2 linked regions of the Neurospora crassa OR74A genome follow. Each later gene encodes a partner of the first gene's protein in a complex. Links are inferred from orthologs where the notes say so. Each region holds a gene or a part of one and is shown in the gene's direction. Other genes may lie near its edges.

What was found.
Region 2: the proteins of NCU06672 (region 1) and atg-8 are in contact, whole or in part, in a crystal structure (PDB 3RUI), measured with the Saccharomyces cerevisiae proteins. The link is inferred for Neurospora crassa OR74A from reciprocal best matches to the Saccharomyces cerevisiae genes ATG7 and ATG8. Residues at the interface, in NP_012041.1 of Saccharomyces cerevisiae: Gly333, Thr334, Leu335, Leu436, Val437, Asp438, Ser439, Arg440, Arg443, Ala460, Ala461, Leu462, Gly463, Asp465, Ser466, Tyr467, Leu468, Tyr486, Cys488, His489, Asp490, Val491, Val492, Ala493, Thr495, Asp496, Ser497, Asp500, Met506, Thr510; in NP_009475.1 of Saccharomyces cerevisiae: Arg28, Glu37, Lys38, Lys46, Tyr49, Leu50, Pro52, Leu55, Gly58, Gln59, Val61, Tyr62, Val63, Arg65, Lys66, Arg67, Pro72, Glu73, Lys74, Ala75, Ile76, Phe77, Phe79, Asp82, Thr83, Leu84, Pro86, Thr87, Ala88, Glu112.

What each region holds. Positions count from the first base shown.
Region 1 is NC_026505.1:4,205,449-4,209,369, reverse strand, and holds the start of NCU06672 (autophagy ubiquitin-activating enzyme ApgG), read left to right. Parts: upstream 1-1,256; 5' UTR 1,257-1,724; coding exon 1,725-1,921; intron 1,922-1,976; coding exon 1,977-2,094; intron 2,095-2,172; coding exon 2,173-3,474; intron 3,475-3,538; coding exon 3,539-3,921. Other genes in the region: NCU06673 (deoxycytidylate deaminase), read right to left, coding at 1-716, 781-802. UniProt on the Saccharomyces cerevisiae protein: E1-like activating enzyme involved in the 2 ubiquitin-like systems required for cytoplasm to vacuole transport (Cvt) and autophagy. Activates ATG12 for its conjugation with ATG5 and ATG8 for its conjugation with phosphatidylethanolamine.
Region 2 is NC_026502.1:3,123,408-3,126,637, forward strand, and holds atg-8 (autophagy protein 8), read left to right. Parts: upstream 1-1,267; 5' UTR 1,268-1,386; intron 1,387-1,505; 5' UTR 1,506-1,603; coding exon 1,604-1,693; intron 1,694-1,762; coding exon 1,763-1,980; intron 1,981-2,053; coding exon 2,054-2,111; 3' UTR 2,112-2,647; downstream 2,648-3,230.

The sequences.
Region 1 (3,921 bases):
GGCGAGCGCCATAAAGTACGAGTCCCATGAGGGCCGGAGACGGTCCGGGTTGAGCAGGTCGAGATTCCCCAGCGTGGCGTAGAGATGCGCAAGAGAGGGCGACGTGTTGAGAAGGCGGACGGTGGCGCGCGACATCAGTGGGAGCCGGCCGGTTTGTGGGAGGAAGAGTTGCGTGTCGTTGAGGTGGGCGAAGGATTCAAAGATGAGGGGTTCTTCTTCTTCTTCTTCTTCTTCTTGTTGTTCTTCGTCTCCAGCTTCAAGAGCGGCACCGCCGGCGGAGGAGGAGTAGGACTTCATGTTGTTTCGGTGACGTTGTTGTTTTTCCCCGCGCTCACGGAAGCGGCGCCATCGGACAGTGAGGGGAGCATCGACGCTGATAAGCAGGAAGAAAGGCCGGCGGGTGTACATGTCGAGGATCCCCTCGGTAGGAATGTCCGTTGTTACCCATCGCTCGCGCCAGTGCTTAGTGATGAAGTCGAGGAGATCGTCGGCGGAGGGGAAGACATGGCCTTTCGAGCGCGCGGAGGTGGAAGATTGGGTGTGAGAGGTGATGTAGGCGGGTAAGAGCTTGTGGATTAGACCGTTGACATGATCATTTGGGGTTTCTCCGCTGACGATATCATCGATCGTCTTAGTTGTATGCTCTAGCGATACACGTGTGAAGCCATGGTGCTCAACGAGATATTGAGCGATGGTGCTCTTGCCGGCGCAAATACCTATTGACAGCGTGTAAGTGACTCAACTGGGTAGAAGATGGAAAGACAAGAGGGGCTGATGTACTGCCGCAGATGCCGATGAACATGGCGAGTTTCCTTTCAAGTCCCTTCTTGAAAGAAATGTGATAAGAGAGGAAAAAAAAAAAGGCTATAACAACATGGATCTGAGACACAATCTACAATCTATATTTACTGTGTACTCAACGATTTCTTGATGGGGTCGAATTTATGCGAATAACTGTCGTTGACCCGACAAGACGCGTCGGTCGACTTCAGGAACGCGTTTAGTGGGTGCAGCCGCTATCAGCGCACCGAGGATCTGCCGGCGGGGTATTCCCACCCATCGTGCATACCAGGAGTGGGTTACCGCTCCCGTCTTGGCCGCTCTTTCGGGTGTTGGTCAAGAACCTAATGCGGGGCACAGCTGCCTTGAGTATGTAAGCTTCAGTGATTCCCGGTGTGACAAACAGACAAACCAAGCCATTCCAGCTCCTCTTCCAACCCGTCCAGTATATATTCGCTCAGCTCATGAAAGGAGTCATTTCCGCGCTGCTACCCTTACCCATTGACACAGCTTCAGCAGTTACAGTCAAGGTGTGTTCTCTGGACCATCGTCGCCCACTTGGTTCCTATATCGGTGAGACGTTCCCGAGTGCATCCTGGCGGCGTATATAGTCCGGTGACAAGGGATCGGGTCATAGGGAAGACAGCAGATGACGCAGAACCGCTGACCACCGCCCACACTCTGGTGAACCCGTCTTCTTGATTCATTTTACGATCGCTCTCCGGAGACGACGGGACTGCTGTCAACCTTGTCGCAAAAAGAGTACATCAATAAGCTTCCAACCGTGTGCGCCAGGCTGCCAACTCAAGCCTTCTTCGACCGCTACTTCTTGGGATAGAAAACGCATGCCAACATCAGGAAAGTCGTTACATCCATTATCAGTAGTTCCCCCAATCCGAAGTCTCTAAGTGCGCATCGCGGCCGGCTGTGCGCCCCCCTCATCCATGGATCTCAAGTTTGCGACCTTCTCCTCGGAGATCGAGCTGCCCTTCTACTCGGCCCTCTTCTCATCCAAACTCGACCATGACAAGCTCGACTCTTCGGCCCGCCCTGTCTTGGGCTTATATGAACCTCGGTCGCACGCGAGTCCAGAGGCCAGTACGAGAATGCAGATCTTGGGGAGCGCCCTAACAAGCGACCAGTAAGTTCCCATGCACGCTTGCTTTTATACTTTACGAACCAAAGCCTGATGATAGGGACGAAAGCGGGCCCTTGGGCATGACGAGAGCCGAAGGCTACATTAAGAACGTCAACACGATCGAGGAATTCAAAAACACGGACAAAAATGCGATGATCAAGAAGGCGGGCGAACAGGTTCGTATCCAGTAGCTTCACTTTGGGTCGCGCCAGTGCTTGCGCTGTAACGAAAGCTTACTGACGGGCGGATAAAAGATCTGGGATGCTATTCAAGACGGCACGATATACTCCTGCCCATCGCTACTTGCCTCTTTCCGGATCCTGTCATACGCCGACCTGAAGAAGTACAAGTTTACCTACTGGTTCGCATTTCCAGCCCTACACTCGGAGCCGCAGTGGAAGCGAACAGGACCGATTGGCCGGTTGACCTCGGACGAAAGCACTGCTTTGGTCGAGCGCATAGGAACATGGCGATACATGGTTGACAGGAGAGAGCACGGATTCTTCCTCGCAAAGAAAGTGCGTCGCGAGGCCGCAGGCCCAAGATCCTCACTTGATGATCCCGGGGTCGATATCGGCTACCGTTGGGATATTGGATCTCTCAGAGACTTCGAGACGGGATTCTTCAACGACGCGGCGGAAGAGGACAGATATGTTGCTTTCGTGGACCCATCCAACTATCCCGAGTACCCTTCCTGGCCTCTTCGTAATCTCCTCATCCTTATCCGGCAAAGATACCGCCTCAACAAGGTCCAAATTCTCTGCTACCGCGACACGCAGCCTAGGAGACATGAAGCGCGGAGCACCATCCTGCCACTGGCGATGGACCAAGTTGGCGACGTGGAGTTGAAGTGTATGCCCAAGGTTACCGGCTGGGAGAGGAACGGTAACGGCGATCTCAGGCCACGGGTCGCGAATCTGGCAGAGTACATGGATCCCACTCGACTAGCAGACCAGGCAGTGGACTTGAACTTGAAGCTGATGAAGTGGCGGCTCGCGCCGAATCTTGACTTGGACGCGATCAAGAATACGAAATGCTTGTTGCTGGGCGCAGGGACACTCGGCAGCTATGTCTCGAGAAACCTGCTAGGGTGGGGAGTTCGCAAGATCACGTTTATTGATTATGGGAGCGTATCTTATTCAAACCCAGTACGGCAGCCTCTCTTCAAGTTTGAAGATTGTCACAATGGGGGAAAGCCGAAGGCTATTCAAGCTGCCGAGGCACTTAAAGAAATTTATCCAGGAGTTGATGTAGAGGGCTACGCACTCTCTGTTCCGATGCTGGACCACGCGATCCACAACGAGGCAAAAACCAAAGCAGACTTTGACAAGCTGAAGGAGTTAATCGATTCACACGATGCGATCTTCCTCCTCATGGACACGCGCGAGTCCCGATGGCTGCCCACACTGATGGGCAAAGCTGCGAACAAGATCGTGATGAATGCGGCACTCGGATTCGACACCTACGTTGTCATGCGACATGGTGCGGCGCCGAACGACGGCAGTGAAGAGACCCTTGGATGTTATTTTTGCAACGACGTAGTAGTTGCTGCCGATGTAAGGATCTGCTAATTCATCCAAAGCGAGTTGTGGAAAGCTGCTAACCAAGTCTACAATCCAGTCGATGAAAGACCAAACGCTCGACCAACAATGTACCGTCACCCGTCCCGGCGTGGCAGCCATCGCTTCGGCCCTCCTCGTCGAGCTTCTCACTAGCATTTTGCAGCACCCGCTCAAGCAACACGCGCCCGCGCCCGTCTCAACCGGCACCGGCTCTGCCGTCTCGTACGAGCGCGATCCCCCTGACCATCCCCTCGGTCTTGTCCCGCACCAGGTCCGCGGTTTCCTATCCAACTTCCAGAACATGGTTATACGCGGCAAGTCGTACCCGCAGTGCAGCGCCTGCAGCAAGCCCATCCTCGACGCATACAAGGAGGGCGGATGGGAGTTTGTCAAGACGGCGCTGGCTAGTCGGGACTATGTAGCTGAGCTGAGTGGGCTGGC
Region 2 (3,230 bases), on another chromosome or scaffold:
AATTCTCTTCCACTGGTTGGATCAACTATCAACTACCTACACTACTAATGATGGAAAATGACGCTATACCCGGAACAGGCTGATAGACAGCTCCTTCTGTAACCACGCTGCCATCCATGATAGCGCAGTGCCGTATCCTGTGCGGGCAGCCCAAACGGAACATTCGCGGGGTGTTCCTTGCATTTCAACGGCTCCAGTGGATGGACGGGGAACCGGACCCTGAGGAGCGAGATGTCCACTTTTGGTGCTGCACGCACTCCGGGAGCGACCGGAAAAGCCACCTAGGCGGACACCGAAAACGGTACCTGATAATAAACACACGGGCCCAGGTCCCATTGATGGCGGGGCAAATGGTCAGCTCCGATCGGACTTCAGTTGTAGGGAGGCCCGGGAGGAGCTCCAGGATAAAGCTTCATTGCCGATAGGAGACTACTTATCATGGATAAGATATACCAAATGCGAACAAGCGGAGAGAATGACGACTTCGCAGTGGTGACATCCATGACCTGGTCCTCCGTAGGTCTTTAATAGTGTAGAGGTACCTAGGTAGACGGCAGGCGAACAAAGCGGTCAACAAGCTGCCCGTGCAAGTTCGAGACGCTGGCCAAGGCGATGGAACCGTCCACGCCCTTCTTAGTAAAATGCGGTCTACACACGTTCAACGAACCGGGAAGCCAAAGGATCACGGCCACGAGGCTGCCCTTGGAACGGAAAGGAGGTTTACAATGCGCCCTTCTTCGGGCCATCCTTTTGTCTTGTCCATGTGCCGCTGATACAAGTGGAAGGTATCATCAACCTAGGACTTGGTAATGTGTACTACAGTAGTGTACATGGAACGAGAGATAGGAGGCGGATACGGACCTAGTGCTGCGTCATTGCTAGGTACATACCTCCACGCCGCCCCACTGATGGCCAAGAGGTACCGTTCAGGTACCGCTCCTAGCTGAGTGCCGGGCACGCCTTCGCCTTGAAATGCCCCTGGAATGCCACTGAAAAGGCAGTGACCTGTTAAGCTTGACCATGTGAGCGACGGCCAGTGACCCATCTGATTCACCGACTGGGAGCGAGCTAAGCCCAATCGAGGATCGACTCTCGCTTTAGTCATCTGGTCAGCCCCGCCTCCGCCTGCTGGTCACCCGCTTAGTGTTCAGGTTGTCCTGGCGTGCCCGTCCAGGGCCTTTGACCCGTGCTGCGCAGACAGGCGGGCAGGCGCCAACTGGACGCGGCCGATAGGCAACACTGCCTGGCAACCTACCTACTAACATACCTTACATCGATGGTCAAAGAGGTACATCAACCCTTCTTCCCCCTCTTCATCCTCTTGCCGTTTCTTACCTCTGACATCTCTCCCCAGCTTCCTCATTTCATCACACGCCAGTCATCAAGGTATGTTCTGCATTTCCAGCCGGCCAACACTGATTCTGCTCCTTGTGGAAGCCATCCATGGTCCATCTCCCTTTCAATAGCCGCTTCTTCCGACTAACACCGGATTCCGTCTATCGCAGACATCGTCTTATCCATCCATCGTATCCACGCTTGTAGTCAATCTCAAAGCCAAACACCTATCACCGCATCTTCCACATTATCAACCCAAACCGCCAAAATGAGATCCAAGTTCAAGGACGAGCACCCCTTCGAGAAGCGCAAGGCTGAGGCCGAGCGTATTCGCCAAAAGTACTCCGACCGTATTCCCGTAAGCATCCCCCATCCGGACGATCCCGCAGTCACCGCCCTTATCCCTAACTAACACATGTCGCCACAGGTTATCTGCGAAAAGGTCGAGAAGAGTGATATCGCTACCATCGATAAGAAGAAGTACCTCGTACCGGCGGACCTCACCGTGGGCCAGTTCGTTTACGTCATCCGCAAGCGCATCAAGCTGTCGCCCGAGAAGGCCATCTTCATCTTCGTAGATGAGGTCCTTCCTCCAACCGCTGCTCTCATGAGCAGCATCTACGAGGAGCACAAGGATGAGGATGGGTACGTGGCAGCCTCCATCCCCCATCATTTTTTTTTCCAACTGTAACCCAGACTAACGTGACTACTACCACAGTTTCCTCTACATCACATACTCGGGCGAGAACACCTTCGGCGACTTCGAGACTGCGTAATCATATCCTCTCTATCGTTTTGCTTTAGACGTTGTGGGCGTTTTGGGATTCATACACGATTACTGGATCAATGAGCGGGTTGGTGGGCTGTGCATCATGTTGTTTCTGCTGGGTTTATATCCTTAGGGTCACGTTGGCTGAAGAGGGGGAGGGCTTGCTACGACAGAAGGGACGATGGGACTGTGCTGTTGGGGTCTGGACTTAGGTGCCACCTGCAGCCGTATGAAAGTGAAGTCCCCTTTACTTTGCTTCCCGGTGTGCTTTGGTCTAGAGACAGCATCATTTGCCGTTGGATTGCCCGGTTCACAAATCAATGTTACCCTCATTCTCTATGCCCTTTTTCACCACGCCGGTGACTTACATCCCTTGTTGAACCCCTCCGAACATGAACCTTGGATACATGGCCGCAATGGAGGCACATCACGAGGACGGTAGTTCCATACGTGGATATCACGAGGAAGCACGTAGCTTATAGAATATACGATAGGTATTACACGTATCCTAGCTGGGTATCGTTACACTGGTTGTCATGGTTGATGGTCTCTGTGTATAATGACGCTTGGTTAAATCCATTGTGTGTTGAGCTAACTGTTGGTCTTCCCAGTTCTTCTGAACCGATTTGATGAAATCACGGAGGACTCCTACGACAGTGTCGCCGTCGGTACAAACTCGCCAAACTCGTATATCCGATTCTGGCAGTCTTAGACCAACTTCATGCTTCGCCAATACAAGAAAGATGTGCCGACTACTTGGCATTGCATAGGTCTGCAGCCTAACCTCCAGGGGCAACTCCCAAGACACTCAAAGTAACCTGCCTCGGCGCATGACTGACACGTTTTCATCAACTTCCTCTGTCCTCTACAAAATTAACTTCACATCGCTGTTCAAACATTACATCAAATTTGATAGTTATATTGTCTTCTACTATAACCAGTCATCACAAAACTTCGTCTGATCATGATCATGTGGGGTCAAAACAATGGGCTGTGGCTGCAGCAATAACTGAAACAACAAAGGGCTATACGTGCGGGATGAGTGAGAAAGTTGAAAGACAAACAATGAATGGTTAACGATGCTGATTGCTACAAGTTCATCCATAGTGAATATCAGTTGTAGGGG